Linked DNA regions of Ovis aries. The protein of the gene in region 3 purifies or fractionates together with the protein of the main gene of each other region. This does not show direct contact. Links are inferred from orthologs where the notes say so. Each region holds a gene or a part of one and is shown on either strand. Other genes may lie near its edges. The genes, in order: PNISR, ACIN1, CAMKV, SDC2, ZC3H18, PNN and NOLC1.

Evidence for each region.
Region 1: the proteins of CAMKV (region 3) and PNISR purify together in Homo sapiens (affinity purification with mass spectrometry; 3 studies listed by BioGRID and IntAct, counting the BioPlex papers as one, with this or other methods). This does not show direct contact. The link is inferred for Ovis aries from reciprocal best matches to the Homo sapiens genes CAMKV and PNISR.
Region 2: the proteins of CAMKV (region 3) and ACIN1 purify together in Homo sapiens (affinity purification with mass spectrometry; 3 studies listed by BioGRID and IntAct, counting the BioPlex papers as one, with this or other methods). This does not show direct contact. The link is inferred for Ovis aries from reciprocal best matches to the Homo sapiens genes CAMKV and ACIN1.
Region 4: the proteins of CAMKV (region 3) and SDC2 purify together in Homo sapiens (affinity purification with mass spectrometry; 3 studies listed by BioGRID and IntAct, counting the BioPlex papers as one, with this or other methods). This does not show direct contact. The link is inferred for Ovis aries from reciprocal best matches to the Homo sapiens genes CAMKV and SDC2.
Region 5: the proteins of CAMKV (region 3) and ZC3H18 purify together in Homo sapiens (affinity purification with mass spectrometry; 3 studies listed by BioGRID and IntAct, counting the BioPlex papers as one, with this or other methods). This does not show direct contact. The link is inferred for Ovis aries from reciprocal best matches to the Homo sapiens genes CAMKV and ZC3H18.
Region 6: the proteins of CAMKV (region 3) and PNN purify together in Homo sapiens (affinity purification with mass spectrometry; 3 studies listed by BioGRID and IntAct, counting the BioPlex papers as one, with this or other methods). This does not show direct contact. The link is inferred for Ovis aries from reciprocal best matches to the Homo sapiens genes CAMKV and PNN.
Region 7: the proteins of CAMKV (region 3) and NOLC1 purify together in Homo sapiens (affinity purification with mass spectrometry; 3 studies listed by BioGRID and IntAct, counting the BioPlex papers as one, with this or other methods). This does not show direct contact. The link is inferred for Ovis aries from reciprocal best matches to the Homo sapiens genes CAMKV and NOLC1.

Annotation. Positions count from the first base shown.
Region 1 is NC_056061.1:37,643,595-37,647,261, forward strand, and holds part of PNISR (arginine/serine-rich protein PNISR), read left to right. Parts: intron 1-1,505; exon of another isoform or gene 1,506-1,509; 5' UTR 1,510-1,536; coding exon 1,537-1,624; intron 1,625-3,252; coding exon 3,253-3,441; intron 3,442-3,667.
Region 2 is NC_056060.1:21,576,715-21,580,855, forward strand, and holds the start of ACIN1 (apoptotic chromatin condensation inducer in the nucleus), read left to right. Parts: upstream 1-1,225; 5' UTR 1,226-1,297; coding exon 1,298-1,744; intron 1,745-3,291; coding exon 3,292-3,357; intron 3,358-4,141. Other genes in the region: C7H14orf119 (uncharacterized protein C14orf119 homolog), read right to left, coding at 507-532.
Region 3 is NC_056072.1:50,432,821-50,437,226, forward strand, and holds the start of CAMKV (caM kinase-like vesicle-associated protein), read left to right. Parts: upstream 1-1,460; 5' UTR 1,461-1,612; intron 1,613-4,406. UniProt on the Homo sapiens protein: Does not appear to have detectable kinase activity.
Region 4 is NC_056062.1:80,505,190-80,508,856, reverse strand, and holds part of SDC2 (syndecan-2), read left to right. Parts: intron 1-2,376; coding exon 2,377-2,513; intron 2,514-3,667. UniProt on the Homo sapiens protein: Cell surface proteoglycan which regulates dendritic arbor morphogenesis.
Region 5 is NC_056067.1:13,378,919-13,383,318, forward strand, and holds the start of ZC3H18 (zinc finger CCCH domain-containing protein 18), read left to right. Parts: upstream 1-1,563; 5' UTR 1,564-1,719; intron 1,720-4,400.
Region 6 is NC_056071.1:46,897,121-46,901,425, forward strand, and holds the start of PNN (pinin), read left to right. Parts: upstream 1-1,465; 5' UTR 1,466-1,545; coding exon 1,546-1,658; intron 1,659-2,312; coding exon 2,313-2,384; intron 2,385-2,760; coding exon 2,761-2,829; intron 2,830-3,626; coding exon 3,627-3,699; intron 3,700-3,815; coding exon 3,816-3,910; intron 3,911-4,075; coding exon 4,076-4,151; intron 4,152-4,305. UniProt on the Homo sapiens protein: Transcriptional activator binding to the E-box 1 core sequence of the E-cadherin promoter gene; the core-binding sequence is 5'CAGGTG-3'. Capable of reversing CTBP1-mediated transcription repression.
Region 7 is NC_056075.1:22,593,463-22,597,922, forward strand, and holds the start of NOLC1 (nucleolar and coiled-body phosphoprotein 1), read left to right. Parts: upstream 1-1,546; 5' UTR 1,547-1,568; coding exon 1,569-1,688; intron 1,689-4,273; coding exon 4,274-4,329; intron 4,330-4,439; coding exon 4,440-4,460. UniProt on the Homo sapiens protein: Nucleolar protein that acts as a regulator of RNA polymerase I by connecting RNA polymerase I with enzymes responsible for ribosomal processing and modification.

The DNA.
Region 1 (3,667 bases), on a different chromosome or scaffold from region 3:
AAGGGTCTGAAAGGATGCATTTAATAAATATTTATTTAATGCCTGCTATATGTTAAGGCCTGGGGTACAAAAATGAAGAAACATCTGCCTACTATGTGTGTCATTGATTCTTGAACAGGGTTGTATATCTGAGTTGGAAAAAGTATAAAAATGACTTGTAGGCATTTAAAACTTTTTACTGTGAAAGTTTTCAAGCTAGTTTACAGTTTTGTCCCCGTACTCATCACCTAGATTTAATAGTTATTAACATATGTCTTTCCCCCCTACTTTTCCATCTTAATTATATATTAAGAAACCTGGTCTTGGGGGGTTCCAGGTGACCTAGTGGTTAGGATTCTAGGTTTCATTGGTTCAGTCCCTGGTCAGGGAACTGAGATCCCACAAGCTGCATGATGTGGCAAAAAAAAAACCTTGTCTTGTGGGCTGTCTCACCTTGTAGATTTGTCTGATTGTTTCTTTTGATACTGTTTAGCCAATACTCTTGTCCCCTTGTAATTCCTTCACACTGGAAAGTGAAAGTCACTCAGTCGTGTCCAACTCTTTGCAACCCCATGGACTATACAGTCCATGGAATCTCTAGGCCAGAATATTGGAGTGGGTAGCCTTTGCCTTCTTCAGGGGATCTTCCCAACCCAGGAATCAAACCCAGGTCTTCCACATTCCAGGGCTGGGAAGATCCTCTGGAGAAGGGAAAGGCTACCCACTCCAATATTTTAGGCTTCCCTTGTAGCTCATCTGGAAAAGAATCCGCCTGCAATGTGGGAGACCTAGGTTTGATTCCTGGGTTGGAAAGATCCCCTGGAGAAGGGAAAGGCTACACACTCCAGTATTCTGGCCTGGAGTATTCCATGGACTGCATAGACCATGGGGTCACAGAGTCAGACACGACTGAGTGACTTTCACTTTCGCTCAGTTGGATTCAGGTAAACATTTTTGGTGAAAATAGTAATTATGGGGACATAATATTGTGTCTCATTGAATTTTTGATTTCCCATCAACTTTTCTTCTAAGACTGTGTGAATCAGCTGTTTTTATTAGGTTTGACAGTATGACTGCTTTCTAAATCTATTCTACCTTCTGCGTTCATGGTTTTCTTTCATTAACTAGAACTATTTGATAACCCTCTTCAGTAAGTCTTGGATTATGGGAGGCTAAATAGATAAACCTTTTTTTCTTACAATCTTCAAAATAATTACATTCCACAGGTTTATATGAGATTTTAAATTAAATTAGAATTAGAAAAAATTAGAAAAATTAGATTTTTCCCCCTTTGAGCTAAATGGATTAGAGCTATGCTTTCCTCCAAACTCTTGACACCAGCATTAACATGAAATTTTCTATTCTTGCTTGCCAACCAAAAAATTCCAGTTGCTTCTGGCAACCTTTTGAGCAGAATTTTAGAGCTCTGATGACATAAATGTAAAATCATATAATAATTTCTGATGTGTGAGCTTTTTTAACATTAAATAACACTCATTCTCTCTTTGTTAAACTATTTTTTGAAGACAGAAAGACAGATATATTTTAAAAGTCAGGATGTGGGATCAAGGAGGACAACCTTGGCAGCAGTGGCCTTTGAACCAACAACAATGGATGCAGTCATTCCAGCACCAGCAGGATCCAAGTAAGGAAACAAATTGAATTTTGGGGACTAGAGTAGGGAGTTATATAGAAATGGGTGGAAGATAGGCACAAGGATTAAGGGAGGTAGAATTGAAATTGGTTTATTGGGTCATTTTATGGTTGGATTTTAATTTTTTCTCTTGAATCATCTTAACCTAGCATACATATCAAGGAATGGATTTCCCTTTGGAATATTTTTTCAAAGGGTAGAAAGTTTTGTATAGATTTCATATTTCTAAAACTGATTTAGTTCTTGTTTTCTGAAGAAAGTCTTTCTTAAATGTGTTGCTTAAGTTAATCATATTTCTGCTGTTAATTCTGAGTCTTAAGATTCTGTGTAGATCATAATCAACTGATGGTATACTATATAGTTTTAAAACCTCTCTTTAATATGAAGTATCTCAAACTTATATAGATGCAGAAAAGGGTATAGGGATCCCCCATTTATTACTGAGTTCTAACAGTCGTTAATTCATAGCCAATTTTGCTTAATTGGTATGACCTCTTCTACTGCCCTGTGTTTACTGAGTTAATGCTTTCCTATTTCTTTTTTTTTTTAATAGCTACAGAGCATTCTGTTATAGGACTGTACTGTAATAAATCTACTTTTAGATGATTGATTGTGACTTGACTTTTTGAAGACATTCCCCTAATTTTGTATACATACCATTATTACTTATCCAGTTATTTTCTTAGGAAAAAAAGCTAAGAAATAGGTTTGATAGATCACAGTTGTACATTTAAAGTTTTAGATATACATTACCAAGTTTAACTGCACCTTTGTCAAAATGTATGAGAATATATTTATTTAATCTTAGCTAAACTGAGATGTAAAAGCCTGTGTCTTAGTCTACATTGTTTACTTTATTAATACTGTTAGATCTTAAAACGTTAGCTATAGTTTTTTTTTTATGATTTTTAAAACTTTTATTATGAAATAATTATAAGTTTATAGGAAGTTGCAAAGGGATTACAGGGACTCTCATGTAATCTTTATCTTGTTTCCTTGAGTGGTTACATTTTACATGTTTATGTTATAACACGAAAACCAGGAAATGGACATGGGTAGTACCACATGTATGTACAGTTCCAGTCACTTTAATCACATGAGTAAAAGCTATAGATTTTTGATGGGGATAGAGGAAACAATGAATTTTGAATAAAAATGAGTAAGAAGTTGTTGAGATATATTTTGACTAGAGAAAGGAGTTAAAGATGCTAAACAAAGGTGACTGAGAAGGAACAGAAATAGCTAGCTATACTCACCTGAGGTGTGTAGGATCCAGTGTAGACCTGAATGGGACCTGTCTGAGAAAGAGTGAGTTTAATCATTTGTTCTTATAGTGATTTTTAAAAAGAGTTTAAAAATTCAGTGAACTAAGGTACAGGGAATACATTTTCTTAGGAGTAATACTAGAAATTGGTTATTTTGTAAAGTCCTTTTCTGAGTGTCTTAAGTCATTTTGTAACCTGCATATGCATTATTTTTAGGCATTTTTTCCACTATAACATTCTATAATATTTAAAATCTCTAGTAAAGATTAAGTCAAATGCTTCTTTTACATAGAGGCACGTTCTTTTAGCTCCTACATTCTGAATGTCAAATTCTGCTGTGTTAAATTTTGTTAGGCCAGATTGACTGGGCTGCATTGGCTCAAGCTTGGATTGCCCAAAGAGAAGCTTCAGGACAACAAAGCATGGTAGAACAACCACCAGGAATGATGCCAAATGGACAGGATATGTCTACAATGGAGTCTGGTCCAAATAATCATGGGAATTTCCAAGGGGATTCAAACTTTAACAGAATGTGGCAACCAGGTTTGTTGTTTATGTTTTCCAAATTTTAGGACTTAATTTTAAAATAAAATGAGGAATAAAAGTAAATTGTTTAATCTGCTTAGTTTTATGACTTCTTGAATACTTCTTGAAGACTAGGTAGTTTCAGTTAGATTTGACCTTGAAATTTTATGGTTAAAATTATTCTATACTCATTCTCCTAGCATTGTGGCACTCAGTTTGATTCTTTTCTTGGTTCTTCATTCCT
Region 2 (4,141 bases), on a different chromosome or scaffold from region 3:
AAAGCATCCCTTGTTCATTCTGTCCCACCTAATTCTATGTTCTAGGTTGAGTAAAGAAAAAAATCAACGATTAATACTGGTCCAATATATCTTCCCTAAAATGAAAAAAAGGTATACATTTTTTAATTTACCAAGCAGCTGGTCAGGACCCAGATGCTAATCCTTTCTGAGCTATCAACAGTAGGTTAAAAAAAAAGAGAGAGAAAATCTTATACAGTGAAAGAGCCTTCTCTGCAATGTGCATGTAGCCTCTGAAATAAGAACTTTATAACTGTATTATTTTCTTATATTTCCTGTAAAGCATCAGGAAAAATTGAAGAGCAGAGTTAGTGAGGGTGCCTTGTCCAAAATGAGATAACAGAGTAAGAAAAACAGGAAAAGCAGCCAATTCTTTTTTAAGGACTGAGAAAACGGTCTAGTTGGTTTGCTGGCTTAGGGACCTAGCAAGTGTTATACTGCTGTGACAATTCATGTATGAACACTTTTCTTCGTGTTTAATAGAATACCTGTTGATGACCGGCCTTAGCATCATTAATGCAGTTGGGAGGTCAACCAGCTTGAATAGTTCTCAAATTCCACAGTTTGAATCTCGATGAAAACAACTTGTTTACGACATATTTTACTGTTTGTGTTTCTTCTGTTCTAAGCTGGAGCGTTTCTACTGACAAAGGAACCCAGAAGCAATTACCATCAGTTCACTACCAAAACAGCTCAAGGAGGTTTCTTTTTCACAGTGGCCCTACAAGAAGCAATTCTTCCTAAAGGAATATTATTCTCTTATTCAGAGAAAGGGAGAACTTTTCCCGAGTCTTGCGACATAGCTTCAATGGCAAGTTCAAGTCCAATGATCAAGAACTGGTTCGTAGGCCAGGTCCAAAGACACTATGCTGCCACCTTCCACTTTGGAGGCCACGGAATCTGGCATTCCGAGGTCCCAAAGAGCAACACAGCCCTAGATGGGAGTGGCGGAGATTCGGAAGATGGGAGGCGGTAGCTGTATCCGTAGAAGAGTTGGAGGCTTGCCACACTAAGGGTAGCACGCAAACACTGAGTCTTGCCCAGCCCAAGGAGGGAGGTACTTCTACCCCGCTTACCTCCCCTTTTCTCTCACAGGGCACCCGGAGACCGCCACAACAGGGTTTAGACTCCAACTATCGCGGCCGCTTCCATGTTTCCTGAAAACCCTAAGGAGGGCCAACCCGGCAGCCCACGCACTTCCGGCCCCGGACCCGCCCCAAACACCCAAGTTCCACAGCGCCTCAGCCTTAGGGCCGGAGATAGCCGAAAAATTCCGATTATGGCTAGGCCAGAGTCGACAGCTTCCGAACGGATTCGATTCAAAACCTCGGTAAGACGAAGAGAACCGAGCTCTGAAAGCAGGATGCGGGAGGCGGGGAGAGGCTGGGAGGCTGGAAAGAACCAATTGGTGCCGATGTGCAGACGGAAACACCCGAGCACTTCCGGAGGAACCCGGGGAGTTCTGAGTGGTAATCGAGGGGTTGACTATGGCAGTGGGCGGGGCCAACTCGGTACGTTCGAAGGGCGTTGGCGGAAATTACCGAAGATGCCCGAAGCCGTCGGGACGGACCCGAGTACCTCACGCAAGATGGCGGAGCTGGAGGAGGTGACTCTGGACGGGAAGCCTCTTCAGGCGCTGCGGGTGACCGACCTGAAGGCCGCACTGGAGCAGCGAGGCCTAGCCAAGAGCGGGCAGAAGAGTGCCCTGGTCAAGCGGCTCAAAGGGGTGAGGAGACGGCGTTGCCGGGGTGTCGGAGGGAAGCGGACCCGGTAGAGCCGAGTCTCTGCCGCGGCGCAGGCGCAGTGTCCGGGCTCGGCGCGAGCGAGCTCAGGCCGCCAGCGCGAGCCTCCGGATCCGCGCGCACGGTGGTTGGCGAGGCTCGCGCTGGAGTAGAAATAGCGCCGGTTCCCGCCTTAACGGTAGCGGCGCGAGCCCAAAATGGGAGGGTGCGCGCTACTCTCCTGGAGTGTCTTAAGCTCCTTCCTCGTTCCCCCACCCCCTCCTTGTTTGTGTCTGTGGTTTCGGCGCATGCGCTGCAGAAGGAGTTAAATCCCACTACAACCACCGGCGTTGCTGGCCTGAGGGGGGCGAGTTGGGCTGGGTCGGAGTTAGGGGTATAGTTGGCCGGAGGGGTTGATGGGGTTGGTTATTGGTATCCGAATGAATAGAATTGGGGTAGGGCAAAAATGTCTGCTTGACTAGATTAGGAGGTGAGATGAAGAGAAGCCTTGATTTGAAGGGACTTGGTTAGCCAGAAGTGTATATTTTATAGGGCATCCTGAAGCAATTTGGGTGGATAAGAGTTTGGTGAATATTGATGAGAGAGGTGAGGTGGGCTGGTATGTATTGGGGATTTTGAATCTGCTTAAGTAGATTAGGGTGGGATTGCCAAGAGGTAGACGGATGAATTGGTGTGTTTATTTGGTGTAAATGGAGGGAAGGTGAGGATCTCTTGATTTTGATTTGCGTTAGTTAGGATACGTGACCACTAGTACGGTTTTGGGGGCTTCCCTGGTGGCTCAGAGGTTAAAGCGTCTGCCTCCAATGCGGGAGACCCGGGTTCGATCCCTGGGTCGGGAAGATTCCCCTGGAGAAGGAAATGGTAACCCACTCCAGTATTCTTGCCTGGAGAATCCCATAGACAGAGGAGCCTGGTAGGCTGCAGTCCACGGGGTCGCAAAGAGTCGGACACGACTGAGCGACTTCACTCACTCACTCACTCAGTACGGTTTTGGGCTGGGTTGGCTCAAGGGTTAAGTTGGCAGACCGTTGCTTATACTGAAGCTGACAGTTTCGTGTGTGTGTGTTTATAAATTTGGTAAATCTAGTTGCCACTCTTTTGGAAACAATACAAGTTCATTTGAGTAGATCTAATCTGGGTAACTGATCAAATAATTCACTGAGGACAAAATCATGGTTTCATGTGTTTGAACCTGGTTTGAGTATTTGAAGTGAAGGGCCAGATTTAGAAGGAACACTAGTCAGAAGTGCAGAAGACAATAGCGATTGTAGTACTGTCAGATTTTATTGCATAGCCAGATTTCTTCAATATGCCTGCATTTTACATCTGTACATTTGGTAGCAGTAACCATGGCTACCTTTAAGGGTCTTCTGAAGAATGAGAACAGTATTAGTAAAGGGCATTTAGGTCCTTGGAAAAGTACAGTTTAAGTGTGTATGGTTAGTCATTGCATTTGATGAAGAGATTGGGGGAGGGGTATTTTTTGCTTTTGTTTTTCCTGGTTTCTGACTTTTGCCCTTCTCTATACCAGGCTCTAATGCTAGAAAATTTACAAAAACACTCAACCCCGCATGCTGCATTCCAGCCAAATTCCCAGGTAAGAAAGAAGATTCATTACCGGGGTGAACTCTGAATGCACAGAGACAGGGAAGGACATGATGTTGTATGTTTGGCGCTTGGTTTCTCACCAGTATTTTCCTAAGTTCCTTGGGTTGAAAATGTTTTCCTACTGGGACAATTGAATTCTAATAAAGAAGTCAAGAATCAGAAGAGCTCTAAGTTAATTTTTGATTCTTGAAATGGTGTGTGCAGAAAGATGTGGTTCCAGTTGATTAAGTGGAGTGCAAGGGTCTGAAGTCATTTATTTGACATTGATTTGAGAGAAGTAGTTGATGTCCTTGTAGATATGAAGTAGACAGTCACCATGGCAGTATAGGAAAATACCTCCTGATCCAAGAAGAATTCTTGTGTTGACATAAATTTTCCAAGAAATCAATCCTTTGGGGATCATCCACCATTATCAGTGTTAATATTAACTATGGAGTCATTCCTGAGCATTGTTACTTGCAGCAAGAAACTTAACCTTTGGAGACCTTGATTTCCTCAGTTTCCCTGTATCCGAGATGAGAAAAGGTTGAACTAGATCGATAGTTTTATAACTGCTGAGATTTTGTGGAGATGCTTTTGGAGGCTTCCCACAGGAAATTTCTTTCCAAGTGAGCAGCAGTTCACATTTCCCCCCTAAGCTAGAATAGCATTGAGTTTCTGCATAAGATTTCTTTGAAAGAAACCATTCCCAGTTTTTTTTTTTATGTTAGACTATGTAGTCTCTTAAGATTCTTTTCAGCTTTACCATTTCCTCATTATAGTGTGCCACGCAC
Region 3 (4,406 bases):
TCCCCAGTGGTGGAGTTGGTGTGGTGGCTGAGACCACCCAGAGCCCAGGGAGCCGAGAGGCTGTGACCAAGCCAGGGAAGGATGTGAAGGGCTCCTCAACACCCCCTGAGGAGAAAGATACTGATGGGTCCTGTTTAAGTGGTCATGTCCCAGGCTAGACTTCCAGCCCCAGCCCCAGCTTCAACTTCCTAACTTGGACAACTGCAGCCACAGGGAACCATCCAGGAGAGACTCACTCAAAGGTTTGGAGAAGACCCCACCAAGGATGGGGTCAGAAGGGTTTGGGTGAGGTGGGGCCCAGCTCCAGGCAAGCCAAAGTCTGGCCTTCAGACACTGGCCTTAAGGATTGGGTGGGGGTGGGGGGTGGCATGGCAGGCATTTGGTCCACTTGCATCCATGACAAGGCACAGAGAAATGGCCAAGGACTTGCTGCAGAGCCTCCTCCTGGCAGTTCTCAGCCAGGGGGCAGGTTCTCAGGTAAGGGGGCAGGTCTGCTGGGACTTCTGGGGGCTGTAAGTTCTCTTGTATCCCTGTATCCTAGCCCAGGCCACCAGGGGTGATTGTGCTCAGGAAGTGCTCAAGGGTGATTAAATGGGAAAGAATGCAGAGTCTACCCTTATCATTGGTAACTTTCAGAGCTTGAGAAATTCAGAGGCACACTGGAGGGGGCAGACTGGGCCATCCACCCTGGCTGGGACTTGGAGATGGGAAAGGCTCTAACTTGGCAGGAAGGGACGGAAGGGTGGGCAGAGAGACTGGCACCAAGGTCTGGGGCCCTAGCTTGCATGCACACCCCCCCCCCATGTGTTTACTAGCTAGGGGAGGCCAGTCTACAGTGAAGCTTGCCCTAGCGACTGCCCAGTTGGTTCTTTTAGTGGGTTCTGCTCTTTGGGTCAGGTTTTGGGAGCTGGTGGGTTCAGGTGGTAAAGAATCTGCCTGCAATTCGGGAGACCTGGGTTTGATCCTTGGGTTGGGAAGATCCCCTGGAGAAGGGAATGGCTACCCACTCCAGTATTCTGGCCTGGAGAATTCCATGGATTCTATAGTCCATGGAATCGCAAAGAGATGGACACGACTGAGCGCCTTTCACTCAGTTTGGGGGCTGGACAGAGCGCCAGTACCCTAGAGACCACTACCTGCCAAGACACTCCCGTGCAGTTCCAGGACTCAGGCTTTCTCCCCACACCTTCTACTCTGCCGCACCCTCTACAATGACCATCATAAGGTACCTCCAGTCCCTGTCGCCCGGTCAGTCCGAGTGCCTAAGGGAACCTTCGAGAGCCTGGCCCGGGCCACGCAGGCCAGTGCCCACCGTCTCTGCTGCCACCCCTCATCAGCCCTTCTTCGAGTAGGATTCCGGGCTCTGGCTCCTCCAGGGTCCGGGCGGAGCCGGCTGAGAGAGGCCCCGCCCCCAGCCCGCCCCCGGCCCGGGGTGCGAATCCGGTGCCGGCGAGCGGCGGGAGATGCTGGAGGTTCGCGAGCCGAAGTGGCTGCAGCTGGCGCCGCGTCTGCCCCGCGTGCCCGGAGCGGATTCTGCCCGCCGCCCCCGTAGCCCTCGGCGCCCCCACTGAACCCGCGATCGCATCCTCCCAGTGACCGACCAGCGCTGCAGGTGCGGGGTGAGCCGGGAGGGGTGGGCCCCCGGAACGCACGTTGCGAGGTCTTAAGGGATTGGGTCTCTGGCTCGAGGTTTGGGTAGCCGAGTGCGCGGGGGCGCTGCAACGGCTTGGGGTCCTGGCGGGGGCAGAGTACGCGGGCTCTGCAGATCCAGGGCTGGGCGTGCGGGGTTGGGCTGAAGTTCCCCATCACCTCAGACGGCTCGGGGGTCCCAAGGGAAGCCTCTGAGACTCAAGTCCAGGCCAATCTCCCCTCCTTGTCCCCCATCCCACCCCTCGTCTCCCTGTGAAAACAGTAACCTTCCAACATTGAGCTGCCCCAGGGGGTTGGGGGCGAGGGCTCAGAGGTCCCTCTGGACTCCCAAAGCCGCTTCCAGCCCCTCCCAACTGCCCCCGGACCCCCCCTCCCTCCAGCTAAGCAGTCACTAATTTCCATGACAACGAGAGTTCTTTATGGGCGACAACCTGAAGGGGGCTGGGCGGGGCTGCCGCGGGGTGGGGGAGGAGGCTCAAGCCCCTGGGGACCAGCAGCCCCCTAGGCGAGATCCAGCTTCCGAGCCTTAACTCGGCGGCCTCCCCGAGGGTCCAGGACACCGACCCAGCGCTGCGCGGTGGGGGTGGGGGGACGCACATGTTTCTGCCGGGAGGTGCGGGGCTTGGTGCTCACACGTGTGCCTCCCGCATGTGTGTTGCTGTGCCAGCGGGGGCGAGTCAGCAGCACTGGGGAAGGGGGTCAGGGTGGCAGCACGGTTAGGGAGCAGAGCCCCCGGCTGGTAGGGTGAACAATGAGAGAGTGAGTCTGCCTTCCCCCGCCTGTAGCGTCTGGCAGAGACCCTAGGCTCTCCCAGCCCCCCATAGCTGTGCCAAACGGCTTTTGTCTGCACCCCCTAGGCAGAGCCTGCTTCACCAGGTTCCCTCCGAGGAAGCAGGGCTCTCTGTCCATCACCAAAAGCTCAGTCTGCAGCAGTCCAGCTTCTGGCCAGCCACCCTCCTCCAAGGGTGGCTTTGAGCCCCCCAAGGACCACCTGCAGGGACCTGGTGTCCTCCCTGTCCCCCATCCCCAGTCAATTCCTGTCAGCTTTAGGCACCTGCTGGGCCCGATTTTCCTCAACTGAGAAATTGGTGTCTCCGCTCCCCTCTCTGTCAGGCTGGGCCCTGGGCTGGAGCAGAGGTCTCTCTCCTTTTCATTTACAGTATTTGGTAGGGATCCTCCTCCTCCTCCCGTATCAGCTGCCTCTTCCCATATCAGCTGCTGGCCCTCCTCTCCCATCCTTGTCCTGGCAGGTGGGCAGTCCTTGCCCTGGGAGAAGGCCACAGAGTCAGTGATCTCCATCCAGGGAAACTGAGGCAGAGTTGGTGGGGTGGGGAGGATGCTGTGCAGTTGCTTTCCTGTTTCTAGACTGCTCAGGGTGCTGTTTCTGGCCTTCAGGCAAAATCCACTGTTGGGGAGGGGGGCAGCCGTGGCAGGGAATGAGGCTGAGCTGCCAGAGAGGCCCTGGGGACCCAAGGCCTCTAGGGAAGAGCAGATGGGGGTGGGGTGGGGGGGCTGGTGCGTCCAGGCAGAGCTGGGTCAGCTGACAAGAGGGGCTGCAAAGGGAAGTAGCCAGGTCTCCAAGCTTCATTCCATCCCCCACGCCTGTGCCTTCGGCATGTTGGAACTGCCTTACCTAAGCTGCGTTGGTGACAGGGAGAGGGGCTGAGGAACTGTTGGGACCGAGGGGACCACAACAGATGGCCTCTTCCCACACCAAGTTCAGTGCATGTCTAGGGGGATACAGGAGGGGTCAGTCTCAAAGGTCCAGGCATCAGGGGCAGGTCCAGGCATCAGGGGCAGCTCCTGGCCCAGGTGTGCAGAGCACATGGTCATGGAGACATTAGGGCTCTGCTGGACATCCATAGGCCCCTTCAAAACTCCCAGCCCACCTTTTCTCCTGTGTCCTTGTGCCTGCGTCCTTTTTACTATATGAATTCTTTACCCCCCTTCCACCACAGGTTGTGCCTTTGTCTCTCTGTGGCCCTGCCCCTCTCTTTCCTAAAGTCTCTCAGTTCTTCCCTGATGGAGACCAGGGTCACAGAACCCATTCAGGACAAAAATCTCAGGGAATTCCTGGAGAAGGGGTTTGAATAACACCTCTCCTTACCCCTCCCCCCTTTTAAAAACTTCCATCACCATAGCAACCCTATACTCACAGGGCCTTCTCAGCATTTCCGCTCCTCCACTCAAAGGGCAGCGGGGCCGCCAGTGGGTTTTCCTTCAGGGGCTCAAAGCTTGGAACCCGGGTGCCTGGAAGGGGTCAGTTGGCTCTTGGCTCAGCCTGCATGTTTGAAGGCTGAACTTTCTGGAGACAGCACTGGATTGTATGCCCACCCCAAGACTGGAGAGCCTTCTCCCCAACCCCGCATGCGCTCTAATTAGATGGGAGATAGTCAGCAGCCGGAACTAGTGACCAAGGCCCAGCCAGGGCAGGCCCCTTCCCAGTTACCTAAAGCAGCTGGATGGTGGACGAGAAACTTGACTCTGCCTCCTGACACAGACCTGAGAGCGAGGTCTCTATTTCTACCCATCCTGTGGATGAAATGTCTGCCTCACGCTGGGCAGAGCTCAGACCAAGGCATGTGGATTACAGCAGGAAACCCAGCTCTGGTCCCTGAAAGTAGACAGCAGGGAAGGGGAGGGGGTGCCTGCAGGCTGGTGTTCACAGCTGCCACTAAATCGGGAGGTGTTGCCCACAGTTGTTGGGAGGCTGCTGGAGGCCTCCTGGGCCCCTCCTGGCCTCCCTAGATTTACTG
Region 4 (3,667 bases), on a different chromosome or scaffold from region 3:
TTTAAGTTGTTACAAGTTTGACAAATGATCAACTTAAAAAGAATGTTGTATTTGAATGTGAACAATTCTCAAGTGTTATTTTTGTAAAAAGGCAAAATGAACAAACAAAAAGACATAGTGCCAGTTGGAAGTCAGTGGTTAGTCCTTACCGCACAGATACTGGGCCAGCCCCTGGGGGTGTTGGGATTTTGTTAGACACTCTTGTGGGGAGCCAATCAAATGCAGTCCCTCAGCCATAGGAAGCTTGTGATAAGTGCAGTCTTAGGGTAAGACAGGTGGTGCTAAATAAGCAGGTGATGAAGACTCTAATGTGGAAGGAAGCCCTTCTCCAAGGAATGACATTTGTGCTAACGTCTAGAGGTGAGGTTTAGAAATTAACTAGGCAGAGACTTCTGGCCGAAGATCAGGGGACCACAGCTGGAGTCTAGGGGATAACAGGATAAATGATGCTGAAGGAAACTGAAAGAAAGGTAGGCCAGGACCGGACTACACAAGAAGAGGTGGCGGCATTTCATATTCACCTTGAGAGCAGTGGAGTGCCACTGGTACAGTTTTAAACGGGAGAGTGATGGGGTTGCAGCCCGTCTGTGCACAGAGGACTGGAAGGAAATGAGGAAGAAGGGAGGTATGGTGATTATGGAAAGACTGGATGGCGATGGAAGCCCAGGAACCCTAGAAAGGTGTTAAGAGTGGAGACGTAAAAAGAAGGTAAAATCCATAGAACTGGGTATAGATTCAGTGTGGTGGTGAGGAAGAGGGGAGGGAGCCAGAGCTGTGATTTACAGGAACAAAAGGTTCCACTAACTGCCAGATAACATGAGGAGAAAAGACTGCGTTTGTAGAGGGACAGGCAGGGAAATCATGAGTTCTAGTTTTTAAAAATTTTATTGACGTGTAGTTGATTTATAATATCGTATTCATTTCTGCTGTATGACAGTGATTCAGTTGTGTATATTTTTTCAATATTCTTTTCCATTATGGTTTATCACAGGATATTGAATATAGCTCCCTGTGTTATGCAATATGACTTTGTTGTTTATACATTCTATGTATGATAATTTGCGTCTGTTAATCCCAAACTTCCAATCCTTCCCTCCTTACCGCCTCTCCCCTGGCAACCGCAGGTCTGTTTCATGAGTTCTATTTGAACGTGACCGAGATGTATTTACTACCTTTGAGTCATTCATGTGAAAATGCCAAGTAGGCTGGTGGATATGTAGGTCTAAATTTTGGAGGAGTGGTAGAAGGGAACCACTTGGGTTAGTTTGGGTTTCATTTGTATTTAGATGTAACAGAAGCCATGGGTGAGAGAGAAAGTGTAGAGTAAGGTGCAGCCTAGGGCTCAGCCTTAAGGAACTTTTCATATTTTGTGTCCAGGTAGAAGACAATGAATCTGCAAACGAGACTTAGAAATAGCCAGAGAGGTGAGAGGAAAGCCAGGAAGTCAGAGTCATAGAAACCCAAAGGTAGTGCATCAGAAAGGAGGTGAGAGTTGACAAGCGTCCAGTAATACTAGGAGGTTCAATTAGATGAGGACCACTCTGGAAAATGCCACTGGATACAGTACGTGAAGGGGAATGGTGACCTTAAGAAAACAGTGCCAGCAGTGCGATGACCGGGAACAGTTGACTAGGGGGAGTAGAGCAGAGAGTGGAATAGGTGGTGTGGGAAGGAGCTGGTGAGTCTGCACAACCCCACTGAGAAAGTCTGGCTATAAATGGGGGAGGAAGTGCAGCAGCTCACTCACATACAGGGTCGGTGTTCCCTTTTCTTTGTTGTTGTGATGGAAAATGGAAAATATAGCATGTTTCAGCATCAAAGGGAAGCAATCTCTTGAGGAGAGGAGACTGAACACACAAGCAAAAGAAGGGCTACTTGAGGGTCTTCCCTGGTGGTCCAGCAGTTAAGAATCCACCTTGCAACGCAAGGGACATCGGTTCGATCCCTGATTGGGGAACTAAGACCCCACGTGCCATGGAGCTGCTAAACCCATGCACTGCAACCGGAGAGCCCGGGTGCACCAACTGCTGAGCCCACAGGCCACTCCTGGAGAGTCTGTGTGCCACAATGAAACATCCCTCATGCCACAACTAAGACCTGATGCAGCCAAATAAATAAATTGTTTTTAAAAGGGCTACTCGAGAACATTCGGGATAATAATAATATAGAAAAAAACGCCAGACTCCCCACAGATCCACTTTGAAGTCACTTTTTCAGACTCTGAAGACTGCAGGAAGGTTTATGCTAAGTTCCTGAGGAGTAGGTATTGTGAAAAAACATGGCTCTGTCATTATCAACTTTAGACCATGTAGCCAGATACTGTAGAATTCTGTGTCATGACTCATGTGCTTAGCTCATCTTTGCTTATTCTCCCAGGAGCTGATGAGGATGGAGAGAGTCCAGAGCTGACCACGTCTCGGCCCATTCCAAAGATACCATTCACTAGTACTGCTCCGAGAGTGGAAACCACAACACTGAGCAAGATACAGGACAAGATCCCTGCTCAGACAAAGGTGTGTTTTATTTCACATCGCGTCATCAGGTTATGGTCAATGTGCCTTTTTAAAAAATTGTACAGAATGTTCCTTTTAAGAGGCACCTTTTAAAACTGTGTAAGGACAACTGGTCTTTTCATTATATTGTAAATGGCTCCTCCTTATTCTTCATGATCGTTTTGACATTTGCCAGTTACTGTTTTTTTGTTGTTGTTAAATAGGCTTTGTTTTTCAAAGCAGTTTTAGATTCACAGCAGAATTGAGTGGGAAGCACAGAGAGTTCCTGTATACCACCTGCCCCGACACATGTTCAACTGCCCCCCCCCCCACCATCAACATCCTGTAACAGAGAGGTACACTTGTTACAACTGATGAATCCATTCAGTTCAGTTCAGTGGCTCAGTTGTGTCCAATTCTTTGCGACCCCATGGACTGCAGCACGCCAGGCTTCCCTCCTGGAGTTTACTCAAACTCATGTCCATCGCGTCAGTGATGCCATCCAACCATCTCATCCTCTGTCGTCCCCTTCTCCTCCCGCCTTTGATCTTTCCCAGCATCAGGGTCTTTTCCAATGAGTGGTTCTTCGCATCAGATGGCCAAAGTATTGGAGTTTCAGCTTCAGCATCAGTCCTTCCAATGAACATTCAGGACTGATTTCCATTAGGATGGACTGGTTGGATCTCCTTGCAGTCCAAGGGACTCTCAAGAGTCTTCTCCAACACCACAGCTCAAAAGCATCAATTCTTCAGCGCTCAGCTTTCTTTACAGTCCAACTCTCAGATCCATACATGACTACTGGAAAAACCATAGCTTTGACTAGACGGACCTTTGTTGGTAAAACAATGTCTCTGCTTTTTAATATGCTGTCTAGGTTTGTCATAGCTTTTCTTCCAAGGAGGAAGAATCTACATTGGCTGGTCATAATCTCCTAGAATCCAGAGTTTAATTTAGGGTTTGCTCACTGTGATGTATTACCTTGTATGGGTTCTGACACATTTCTAATGGGCATGTATCCACCATTAGTGTAGCCTACCGAATAACTGCACTGTCCTAAAAGTCCTCTCTCCCCTACATGTTTGTTCCTCCTGCCCTCCCAGCCCCTGGAAACCACTGATTTCTTTTTACTGTCTCCGTAGTTTGTGCCTTTCCAAAATGTTGCATAGTTAGACTCA
Region 5 (4,400 bases), on a different chromosome or scaffold from region 3:
CGATTTAGGGCTACTCCATTTCTTCTAATGGATTCTTGCCCACATTAGTAAATAAAATGGTCATCTGAGTTAAATTCACCCATTTCTGTCCATTTTAATTCACTGATTCCTAAAGGTTGATGTCTCTTGCCATCTGCTATTCAACCACTTCCAGTTTACCTTGATTCATAGACCTGACATTCCAGGTTCCTATGCAATGTTGTTCTTTACGGCATTAGACTTTACTTCCATCACTAGTCACATCCACAAACGTGTTGTTTTTGCTTTGGCTCTGTCTCTTCATTCTCTCTGGAGTTATTTCTCCACTGATTTCCAGTAGTATATTGGGCACCTACGGACCTGGGGAGTTCATCTTTCAGTGTCATATCTTTTTGCCTTTTCATACTGTTCATGGGGTTCTCAAGGCAAGAACTCTGAAGTTGCTTGCCATTGCCTTCTCCAGTGGACCATGTTTTATCAGAGCTCTCCACCACGACCCGTCCATCTCGGGTGGCCCTACACAGCATGGCTCATAGTTTCATTGCATTAGACAAGGCTGTGGTCCATTTGATCAGTTTGGTTAGTTTTCTGTGTTTGTGGTTTTCATCCTGTTTGCCCTCTGAGGGATAAGGATAAGAGGCTTATGGAAACTTCCTGATGGGAGAGACTGACTGGGGAGAACTGGGTCTTTATGGGCACAGAGGGTGGGAAAAGGAAGCTAAGAGGGTAGGTTGCTCCTACAAGGGTGCCTTACTTTAGGAAGGGGAGGGGTCATATACAGGTCATCTCCCTAGTGCTGATCAGACTGTTGGGTTGCAGACTAATGGGTTTAAATTTCCACTCTAGGGAGAGGCTGCAATATCAATTAGACTTGATAGGTTTAGCATCTAAGTGATTAGATCTTGGACCTGTTGATACTTTTTAACCGCATGAGGATTAGCTTAAAACTTTTAAGCTTTGACATTTAAACTCAGTATCAAAAAATGATTAAATTTTGTGTTGGACTGATTATATTTTATAAAGCAAGAGCTATTTAGTACCACAGAAATAGTTTCTAAAACGTTTAAACTTTGACATTTAAACTCAGGTTTTCGAAAATGATTAATTTTGTGTTGAACTGATATTTTAACAGAGGGAGCTATGTAGTCCCTAGTAAGCAATGTAAAAGGTCTAAGTTTTGTTATTTAAACTCATTTCCCGAAAAGGATTAACTTTAGGCCGGGGGCTCTTCAGCAGGACTGGAGAAGGTAAGCGCTGAGCCGTGACGTCGCGGGACCCAGCTATGCCTGGTCGGGTACAGCGGGAACAGCGGACGGCTAGTCGGGAACCTGCGCCAGTACTTCACGTGACCACGCGCCGCGGACATCCTTCCTCGCACCTCGATGGGCGGTGCGCGCGCTCTGAGACCCGCCCTAGGGTCGGGGCCCCGGCCGCGCCTGCGCCATGACTCGGGCGGGCGCGCCCCGAGGGGGCGGGGCCGCACGGGGGCGGGGGCGCGGAGGCCGGAAGGAAGCAGGTGGGGGGCGTGGCGAGCGAGGGAAGCCCGCCGGCCCGCAGATAACCGTCGCGGCCTGATGACGTCGCACAATGGCCGGCCCCCGCGGCTAGTGGAGCCCGTTTGTTCCGCCCGCGTCGTGCCTGAAGCCGGAGCCTGGGAGCAGCGGAAGGGCCGAAAGACGCCTTCTCCGCGCCGTCCCGACCCCTGCGAAGCCGTGGCCCCCTCTCTGCCCTCGAGCTGAGGTAAGTGGTGGTGGTGGCTGGGAGGCCTGGCCGGCGGGAGAAAGAGGCCGAGGCGGCCGGGCAAGGAGCGTGGCGGCGGCACTGAGCCGAGGCCCGGAGCCTCGCCGCCTCTGCCTCCGGGGAGCACTCCAGGCTGCCCCCGGCCGAAGCGTGACTCTCGGGCCCCGGGAAGAGGACGCTGAGCTAGGCACGATCCCAGGTTCGGTCCGGACGAACTGGCCGGGGGTCCTGAATCCCTCTAAGCTCGAGCGCCTGGCGGCTGCCTCCGCACTCCGTCGTGGGGTTGGTCTCCCGAAGCTGTCATTTCTCTTCCGGGACATTCGCGTGGCACTGCTTTCCGCCCACAAAGATGGGGGTGCGGAAGGAGGCACGCAAGTTCGCCCTCCGGACTGAGAATAGGCTCTTTGGGAGCTTTGAGCTCTCTGGATCCTCCTGGAACTTGCTCCCTCGACTTCCCGGGCGGCACAGGTTGGATCTATTGGCTGTGCCCCAAGACGCACGCCACTCTGGAATAAACTTCCCTGTGCCCCTTTGGTTGAAAGCCCATAGGATGCCGGGTCATTGCTGGGAGAACCTAAGACTTAAAAACTTCCCGCCTTACTCCTGCTAAAACTTAAGTTTTCCTGAATACTTTATGACAGCTGAGTTTGCTGGATAGAGTGGTTGATCATATTATATGAGCTGTTCAGCTCTACATCTGTGAGAGCAGGTCAGTCTTTAGATCCGTTTGGGGAGAATGGAAGAAAAGTGCGTTTAGGGGCATAGCAGTGGCTTTCATCCTTTCTCCTTCGTGTCGCCTGTGGAGTGGTCCTGTCCCAGAGCAGAGGTTGGGATTCTCAGGGTGAAGCTGGACCCAGGCCAATTCCTGCTTCCCAGGCAGGGGCATTGTTGCCTGATGATGTTACAATCTGAGCACAAGTGTGGAACCCACCCAGCTCTGGAAACCAGTCACAAATGTCCTGGAGGCTAGAATTTCTCTCCAGTTTTTGGTGGGTAAGATAGTTTTATGAGACCATTCCAGAGAGCAAAGGAGGTGTTTTCCTTTTTCACAGATCATCTCAAGGTGAGTGCTTCCTCCCTGAGAAGTCGTTTGGTTCAGGCTTAGTCTGTTTGGGGATGATGTCTATCCCCAGTCTTGACATCCTTCTTTTGGATATTGTAAAGCTATGAAGTTATGAACATGAATTTTAACCAGATGTACCAGAACTTGGGCATTCAGATAGGGACAGCTCTATTAAAAATTGTTGTCCTGGAAGGTTAGACTTGTATTTCATTGGTGCTTTTTTGCCAGAATCTCTTTAGAAGTCCTGTTTAGGTAGTAAATATGCAAGCCATAGGAGAAAAATCAACAGTCACACCACATGTTTGACCCGAAATCGTCTTACCTGGCTTGGGAACTCACCTCACTTAACCAGACCAGGCTTTGAATGGCTTTCTGCTGACCCACCTTGAGGGAGGGAAGATTTGCTGCCACTGAGAGTGCCCGGGGATTGTATTGCATGTTCTAAAGTTCTCTCAGAAAAGTTCCCAAATGTTCTGTATTTTAGCAGTGCCCTTGGAGTCGGGGTGCAGCCTTCCAGAATGACCTCTGGAAAAGGAGGCAGCACCACTCTGTCTCAGTTCCAGAACAGTCTTCTAAAAAGTAGACACTTATTTCAAGTTTCTTTCTGGCATGCAACAGGTAATTTACAACCCAAGGAGACTCTGTGATTTATTTGACAAGCATCTGTAAATTTCCATCTGCTAGTGTACTGCGCTGTGGAGACACAGTGATGGACACTGTTACTCTCTTTTCCAGGCAGTTTCACTATCTTGTGAATCAAAGGCCTAAAGAGTTATAAACTTTGCCAAGAATGCCTGACGATAGGGTGATTGTGTGAGAAGAACACACTAAGTAAGTGTTGTGAGCCTGGGAGTTGTGAAGACGTGCCCAGAGGACCCTGTGTTTCACTGTGTACACTCAGTAGACCACATGTTTTCCTGGCTCCTGACGCATAGCACTTACTCACATAATTGCCAAGTTGAATTAATCTTGGAATAGGACACTGATGCCCAGAGAACCAGTTAACTCTCCCAGAGTGGGCCTAAAACACAAACTGCATTCTGACCCCTAGCGGTAGTCCCCTCCTGCCCAACAAGATGTCACTCGGGGTGCTTCTGATAAGTCAGTTCTTTGGTATGTTTTCCTCTGCAAGCTGTTCACCTGGATGTAGCCTCAGATTGTAAAATCCCAGGAGATTCCACAGGGAGAGAAAAAGTGAGTCTCTTTCCCCAGGAGAGTGTCAGGGCCGCCTGCGGGTGACTGTGTGTCCTGGTGTGCCTAGGAAGGCTGTGACTCGTGCCTGTGGTAGTTGTCAGCAGTGCCCCCAGGTTCAGACAGTAAGTTGTGTGGTAGCATTTGCTGAGTTCAGAGGACCGAGGAGAGTCTGAGTCCTTCCACTCACGCCCTTCATGGGGGGGATGTCTCCCAACAGACTTTGCAAACCGATAATGGCAGTATAGCGTGGTGAGTGTGGGCATATGGTAGAATACTACACAACATACTCAGGGCAGTGGTTCTCAGTCTAGGGAGGTTTTGAACTCCCAGAAATGGGAGATAAATTGCTTATGTCCAGGTTTTTCTAGGGAGAAGAGCCATCCCCTTCCTCAGATTCTCAAAGCCATCTGTGCCCTTCCCCACC
Region 6 (4,305 bases), on a different chromosome or scaffold from region 3:
TGAAAATCCTTTCACCAATGCTCCCCTTAAGATCTATTTAGTCTTAAGATATGATAAAGTTACATTCTTACACAGCAAGGACACAGTGATATATAACAAAGTACAGTGATCTATTACAAAAGAGAACATCCATTAACTCAAAAAGTCTAGTATTGCTAACATCAAAAACTACTATATTTCCTTTGCTATACTCCAAATACATTGATTAATATATTCCCAAGTGCCTAAGGATATGGAGGCCTGGTGGCAATCATTGACTCAACAAGAAGAAAAAGTCCTATGCTAATTAAGACTCTCAAAATACTCCAAAACTCTGTGCTGTTTATGGTTGAGAGGTAGTAAACAATCATGTGCCTAGTGGCAGCAGTAAGGATAATCCTGTCACACAAGCTAGTCTGTCAGCAGAGAGGTTTGACCTGAGACATCCCTGTCCCACCCAGAGCAGGGAATTAGTAGCAATTATTGACACAACAAATGAAAAACCCTTCACCAATATAATTCCTAACCAACTATACTAATAATTTCTAACTCCCCAAAAGATTTGCCTTTAGTAAGTCTAAAACATCTCATGCCTCTCAGGTTAGGAGGCTGTAGACAATCACATGTGGCCAGACGAACCTATACAGGTGGGCTAGATAACCTTCAGAGGAGTCCGTAAGCTGAAACACTCTTGTCACGCCCAGGAATTTTTATTGCTTTGGAGCTGCACGTTTACTCCTTCTCAGAGAGAAACGGTTATGGGGGAGAGCCCCCCGTAAAGTCAGAGGTGTAGGTGAGAGCATAAAACCGACTCTGGTTTTGGGGTTAGATGCTCGGGAACAGGGGGTTTCCTGAGGCTTGATCACGCCTTTGCGTATGCCAAGCCTCCTTCCTCATGACCTTTGCCATGGGCGGAATTCCTCACGCTGCCCCCGGCAGGGGATAATGTATGTAAAGTGTTTCACAGAGTACAAAATAACTGTTAGCTATTAGGAGGAATGACTTTTCTTTCACTCTCTTCCCTCCGCTCTTTTAAGGTTTAACCTAATCAAGAGAAGTCTGCGCCCCTCCCACCGCCTCTCTGAGCATGCGCACCAACGGAATGGCCGCACCCTTTCCTAATCAAATCATTTACTGGGGGGAAGACGAGGAAATAGACTCGCTTGAACCCTACTCTGAGGGTATCAGGTGGTAAAATCATAAGAGGCACGTTCTCTACAGGTTAAAAGGGCCAGGAAGACCCCGCTCTCCTCACCAGAAGAGCTGGGCCGCGAACCCACGTCTCCGAGGACCCAGGTACTCAAACCCGCCCCAGCTCTGCGCTAGAAGCGGAGCCCAGCCACCCGCAGCTAATTGGGGAAGGAGGAGACCCCTGCCTCACTTTTCATTGGCCCAGAGTCACAAAGGCCGGCAGTTTCTCCCCCTTCCGGTTGCTGAGTGGTTGAGGCCGAAATACAACTCCTTTTGCCATTGGCCGAACCCAGCTGTCAGTCTTCTGGCGTCTTGCGGCGCGACACAGGCAGGCGCGGCCTATAGAGCAGTCTCGAAGCCTGCTGCAGGGAGAAGATGGCGGTCGCAGTGAGAACTTTGCAGGAGCAGCTAGAAAAGGCCAAAGAGAGCCTAAAGAATGTGGATGAGAATATTCGCAAGCTCACCGGGCGGGATCCGAATGACGTGAGGTAAGGAGTGGATGGGAAATGCTGGCTACCAGAGGCGGCCGTGAAGCCGGGGTGAATTGGGGGCGGGGAGGGCGGTCAGCCCTGAGAAGACTGGAACATCGAGGCCTGTTCGCGGGCAGCCGTGGGACCCTGTCCTCGGTGAGGTGGGAATTTCCAAGGCCTTCAGCGTTAAGTCCTGGGTCTTGGGTGCGTGAGGAAGGAGAGCGGAGCCTGGGTGCGCCGGGATGGTCTCCGGTCCTGTGGGAAGGCCGGGACTGCCGATTCCCGCCCTCGGCCCCGCAGGCCCGGAACTGCAGCACAAAGCCTTCCTCCTTCGCGGGCCACCCGATTCAGGGCTGGCCCTGGGACCTTCCGGGGACGCGGTCCGCTGCCTCACCCTCCGGCTCTTGCCCACGTGCAACTTTCTTTGGGTTGGTGAAATTTGAACCTGACTCAGGCCTGTTAACGTGTAGTGGTGTTAAGATAAATACAATTTTGTGAAACTGGTCTTGGGAAAACGAGGAAGTTAGTAAAGTGCTTATTGCCGTGTTTCGGGTTTGAAACCGTCATCTTGAAACTTTTCTGTTTATTTTCTCTTGATGGTGAACTGCACCCGTTGAAGTGTTTGGTGCTGTTAGAAACGATTGTTGAACTGATTTGTAAATTATTTTGTAGGCCCATCCAAGCCAGATTGCTCGCCCTTTCTGGTCCTGGTGGAGGTAGAGGACGTGGTAGTTTATTGCTGAGGTAAGATTTCCTTAAAATTTAATCTATTGGTACTGTACTAAATTAATGAATCGGTTTAAACAAATTTCTTGCTAGAGCCAGTGTTAAGAAAAGTTTGATTTGAAGCTGTGATTAGCTGTAGTTCTCTGTATGGTTAATTTACATACAGCTAGAGATTGAAGAATACGGTAACTATATCAGTTATGTGCAAACTTAATATATTCTCATAGATCTAAAAGAAATGCTATAAGAACATCCATCTTGAAGTAAATGTCCATTTGAGGTTACTTTATTTGGAAGAGGAGTTTTTAATAACAGCAACTAAATTATCTTCTTAAATAGAAATAACCATTTTTCTTAATTTTCATATGCTTTATGTTGGACATTTTTATTGCAGGCGTGGATTCTCAGATAGTGGAGGAGGACCCCCAGCCAAACAGAGAGACCTTGAAGGGGCAGTCAGTAGGTATGTTGGAGGACAAGATTCTGAAAGCATACTTTATTTTATGAGGTAGAATGTAAATATTTAATATTGTTGAATTGAGTTGTATTAGGATTGAGTAGTATATCACTTACTCTGAGTCTTTTCACTTGGTATTTGACTGAACTGAGATAGCCAGTATCCCTCAAAACTCAGTTCTTCATGGCAGTAACAGAAATCTTAGCACATGGAGAAGGAAATGGCAACCCACTCCAATATTTTTGCCTGGAAAAGTCCATGGACAGAGGAGCCTGGCAGGCTGCAGTCCACGGGGTTATATGACTGAGCACGCATGCATGATAGAGATTGGAGGGAGATGGGTTGGTAGCAGTAAACTGGTAGAACTAAAAAAAGAAAGCACAGTAAAGGTCAGGAGAAAGATAAGATGGAGGAGATTGTCTGTCTGTGTTACTTTCCTGTCTTATACTACAAAAGCTTAACTGGGTTGAGAGCTGCTGCTGCTGCTAAGTCACTTCAGTCGTGTCTGACTCTGTGCAGACACGACTGCGGCAGCCCATCAGGTTCCCCTGTCTCTGAGATTCTCCAGGCAGGAACACTGGAGTGGGTTGCCATTTCCTTCTCCAATGCAAAAGTGAAAATGAAGCCGCTTAGTTGTGTTTAATTCTTAGCGACCCCATAGACTGCAGCCTACCAGGCTCCTCCGCCCATGGGATTTTCCAGGCAAGAGTCCTGGAGTGGGCTGCCATTGCCTTCTCCCTGGTTGGGAGCTGTAGGAGATCAAAGTTTGAATTGGCCTTTTAAAATTCCCTTTCCTATGTCAGGCTGGGAGGGGAGCGTCGGACTCGACGAGAATCACGCCAAGAAAGCGACCCAGAGGATGATGATGTTAAGAAGGTAATTGAAATTAAAAGAACTTCATAGAGGGTGAATATAGTATTTTCACCTTACTACATTTAGTAGAGTGCTACCTGTATGTTAGTTGAATTACTGAGATTTCTTTTCTCCTGCAGCCAGCTTTGCAGTCTTCAGTTGTAGCTACCTCCAAAGAGCGCACGCGCAGAGACCTTATCCAGGATCAAAATATGGATGAAAAGGGAAAGCAAAGGTATCTTAAGTATCTTTCTGGAGGAAAACAACTCTTGTTAAATAATGCAGTTTTAAGAAAATTTTAGGAATTGTTCAAGTGTCTATACTGTGCTTCTTTTAGGACATGGCAGGTTTAAATGAAGTAGAATGTTTTGAAACTGGATTTTGTTTTTCTTTTCTTTAGGAATAGGCGAATATTTGGCTTGTTGATGGGCACCCTTCAGAAATTTAAACAAGAGTCCACTGTTGCTACCGAAAGGGTATTTATGCAGTTTTTCTTTTGCTTCCTTTATTAACCTGTCAAAGTAGTTGATTATGTGTTAAATGTTTAAAAAAAACTTAAGATTTAATTGCAAAATTCACAACATGAACTGATATTTCCTAAGGAGGGAAAAAGATTTAATTGCCAGCCTA
Region 7 (4,460 bases), on a different chromosome or scaffold from region 3:
GTGTAAGATGGATGGGGTTGAGGCAGACTAATAAACATGAACTAGAGAGAACTGCCAAGTGCTGTTGTGCTTTTTTCTATGGTGCTGGTGCCACAGAAGTCATGTTTCCTCTCTGAACCCAACAGGGACATTCTTACTTCCATTTGATTCCTAGGACCCCTCTTCAGTTAGGTGCAGAATCCTATTGGACTTGAAACTGCTCTTCAAGAGTCTTGTAGGTGAAATCAGTCATCTAGGGCAGTGCTTCTCAGACTTTGAAAGGGTAGCTAAATTTGGAGATCTTTTAAAAATGCGGATTCTGAGTTATGGGGTGGGCCTTGAGATTCTGCATTTCCAACAAGCGTGGTGCTATTGGTCTGGGAAGGAATTTGAATATCAGGGACCCAGAGGAAGTTCACACCTGTTGTAAATAAAGGTTTTTGAAACTGAGGCTTGTGTGTACCATTGCGTGAGCACAATGCTTGGCATTCAGCAGGTGCTCAGATGTTTAAAGAATGCATGCAAGTGAATAGACCTTTAGGAAAGAGGGACATACAGGAATTATACCAAGGACAGGGGAATGCCTATTTTGAGAAAGGCAAAGAAGTGTATCCTTTGAGAAAGTGAACCCTTACCTCCCTGAGGGGCATGAAGGAGAAATAGTCTAGGGCTAGTAGACAGGATTGTAGGGATTGCTATCTGCTAATGTGAACTGAAATATGGAGAACCTGAAATTAACTTAATAGGCCTGGGCATTGATAAATTTGAGTACTCATGACAGAGGCAGTTGAGGGGTTTTCTAGTTCTTCCACGGGGAGGATTCATAGTGTGGACTGTGACCCAGGAAGTAGAAGGGTTATTTTCAGGATTATCCGTTTGAAGAGATTGCTGCTGTCGCTCGGGTTTATTGCACATCCCCTTTTTCTCTTCATGAAGCTGACGTGAAGCTGTGTAAATAAGGGAGGGTAGAGTTGTCTCATGGGCAAGTCAAGATTGAGGTGGACAGTTTTGAAGATCAATACCTCACCACTACCACAGATAATCTGAAGGGCCCTCGGTAATGGAGTTGGGAGTGCAGAGGTTGGGGTGGTATTTTGAGAAAGGGCCTTCCAGGGTGTTGAAGTGAAGATGGGGAAGAGTGGGAATCCACTGGCAGCGCAAATAGGGGACGGTGGGATATGTGACCAAGTTTAGAAAACTCAAGGTCAGCTCAGGCCCGCCGACCCACGCCTTACTCTGATATCTGAATGCTACGGGTAACCGCTGCACTGAGAAAGGTGGCTCCAGCAGGAAGGCAAGGCGCGGGAAGTCCGAAGCTTTCCCGCCGCCACCAAAGGCGTGACCTCTGACGTAAGGGCTCCGCCTTCACAAAGCAGAACGGCGGGCTCCGCCTTTCCAAGATGGCGACACTCGTGGGACCGGAAAGCGTCCATGGATTTCGCCTTTACCCTGTCTCCGAGAGTGCGCCCGCCCCTTCCGGCGTGTCCCGCGCAGCGCGAGGACGTTGCGTGGGTCCGCCCCTAGGCCGCCTCTTCCGGTTTCTTGAGTCGTGTGCGTCCGCGACGGTAGTGACGCGTATTACCCGGAGGATGGCGGACGCCGGCTTACGCCGCGTGGTTCCCAGCGACCTGTATCCCCTCGTGCTCGGCTTTCTGCGAGATAACCAGCTCTCGAGCGTGGCCAATAAATTCGTCAAGGCAACAGGCGCTGTGAGTCCGGGGCTTGGATCATGGGCTGGGGTGGGATCACCACAGGGCTGCGGGCCCTGGCATGCTTAAGTCTGCAGGTAGGGAAGTGTGCGGGGTCCGCCTGACTAATGACTGCCAGGTCTTTGTGCCGAGCTCTCGGCGGTTGGTGGAAAGCCTGGAGTCTTGGCATCACTTCCACGAGGTCTGGCTACTTAGCGCTGAGTCTTGCTTTTTTCTGGTGAGAGGTGAGGCGGTGGCAGCGTGGGACCCTCGTGGCCTAGGTCACGTAGCTAGCAGAGTGCGACCGGGCGGGAGCGCCTGGTCCTACCGGAGGCATTAGAGGCTCCTGGTAGTGCCAAGCGTGACTTGAGTTTAACTCTCAAACGAATTTACCCAGGACTCAAATAGAATTGCTTTAGAAATAATGAAAACTGAAAAAAAGTGAAAGTTAGTCGCTGAGTCGTGTCCGACTCTGCAGTCCCATGGAGAAGCTCACCAGGGTCCTCTCCAGGAGAGAATCCTGGAGTGGGTAGCCTTTCCCTACTCGGGGGATCTTCCAGACCCAGAGCTCTAATCGGGTCTCCCTCATGCGGGCAGATTCTTTACTGTCTGAGCCACGGGGAAGCCGTTAATGAAAGCTGGGATTTTTGTTACTAAAGAAAAAAATGAACGGGAGTAGAAGCAGGGTTGAGCATCAAGCAGTTGTGGAATTTCTGACTTCCTGCATCAGACAAGTGTAGGTTTGGGAACAGTCTCTGCCACTTTAAAAGTGTATGATCCAGGCAGCTTGCTTAATCTCTTTGAATCTGTTTCTACTTCTATGAGCATGCCATCATTCACTTTATAGGATTTTTGTGAGTTTTAATAACATGATATATGCAAAGTGGCAATACCAGTGCCTGGTGCTCAGAAAGCATCAATGAGTGGAAGTTGTTATGTTGGCTATGGTACCTTAGGATGTTTAAAAAACAAATAAAAGGAAGATGACCAGGAATATGAAAGGTTTGGAATCTCCATCTCAAAGAGATCAGACAAGACTGCACAAAAAAACACCTTGAAGATAGAGTGGAGTGGTGAGGTAGTCCTTAAAAGTGAAAGTGTTAGTCACTCAGTGGTGTATGACTCTTTGTGAGTCCATGGACTCTAGCCCGCCAGGCTCCTCTGTCCGTGGGATTCTCCAGGCAAGAATCCCGGAGTGGGTTGCCATTCCCTTCTCCAGGGGATCTTTCCCACCCAGGGATCAAACCTGAGTCTCCTGCATTGCAGGCATATTCTTCACCATCTGAGCCACCAGGGAAGCTCATATGGTAGTCCTTAGTGGTCTTAGTCTTTGATTAAGAAGATAAGCTTGTTCTTTGTGGTAGAATCAGGTTACACAAGTTATAAGTCAGATCAGCCTCAAAGGGCTTCCTTAAGCTGAGACGGCCTGCCATATGTGATCTGATAGAGCTGCTTTCATATTGGAACTGTTTTGCATTGACTGTTAGAGGCTGCAGAGAGTGTTTCCACATCCGGCTGGATGGAATTGGGCCTTTCAAAAGAATCAGAAATCTTTTTTATGTGACAAAAGCTAATCTTTGTGGAGGGCATACTAAGGGCCAGATGCTAAGCCCCTTATGTGCATTATCTCATTCTCTCAACAGCTTAGTGCTTTATAGTATTATCTATCTTAAAGGGAAGAAAAACAGTATTAGATCAAGTGATTTACTCAGGGTCACACATTACTAACCAGCAGAAGTAAGTTTCACATTTCATCTAACTTTGAGCCTGTACTCTCGTATATACTGTAATGCCTTGCCATTTTTTTTGAACACCAACTCATAATTCATAAGCAGTGTAATTAACAGCTGAATGCAGTTCTGCACTGAATAATTAGCATGCTGCTAAGTCACTTCAGTCCTGTCCGACTCTGTGCGACCCCAGAGACGGCAGCCCACCAGGCTCCCCCGTCCCTGGGATTCTCCAGGCAAGAACACTGGAGTGGGTTGCCATTTCCTTCTCCAGTGCATGAAAGTGAAAGTGAAGTCGCTCAGTCATGTCCTGCTTACTCTTCGAGACCCCACGGACTACAGCTCACCAGGTTCCTCTGTCCATGGGACTTTCCAGGCAAGAGTACTGGAGTGGGGTGCCATTGCCTTTTCCTGAATAATTAGCATAGATTTTTACTAATCTTCTCTTGATGGTTGATTTCCAGTGGTTTGGAATTATAAACCAAGTTGCAGCAAATATCTTCCTGTGTAGGTATTTGTTTCATGGGTAAGGATAAATTCCTGGATAGTACACTGCTAGAATAAAGCAGTGTTTTTAATGGAATGCATGTTTTTAAAGGCTTTGATAAATAGGATTGATAGGCAGGGGAATAGATGATGCCAGAAACTACAGGAATAACCCAAGTTTTTGCTACCGAAAATTTGGAAATACATAAATAGAATATTTTTCTCCTAATTTATACAAGTAGGAGAAACCTTCAGAGATGTAACATTTATATCAGATAGAGCAGACAAAATAAGTGACTTTTAATGAGAGAGTAACACAAAATTTGAACTCCCATAGAATAACCAGGATAAAACTTTCTTACCGTGCTTTCTCTGTCTTTTCTCTTATAGACCCAGCAGGATGCCAACGCCTCTTCCCTCTTGGATATCTATAGTTTCTGGCTCAAGTAAGTCTTCTCTTTGCCAGTGTGGCAGTTTTCTCCCTGTGAGTAGGCTGGGTTGTATTCTTTGTTTTGAGAAGGTCCTGTTCCCCAGAAGTTAGCCTAATCTGCCTCAGCAGGTCCACCAAGGCTCCAAA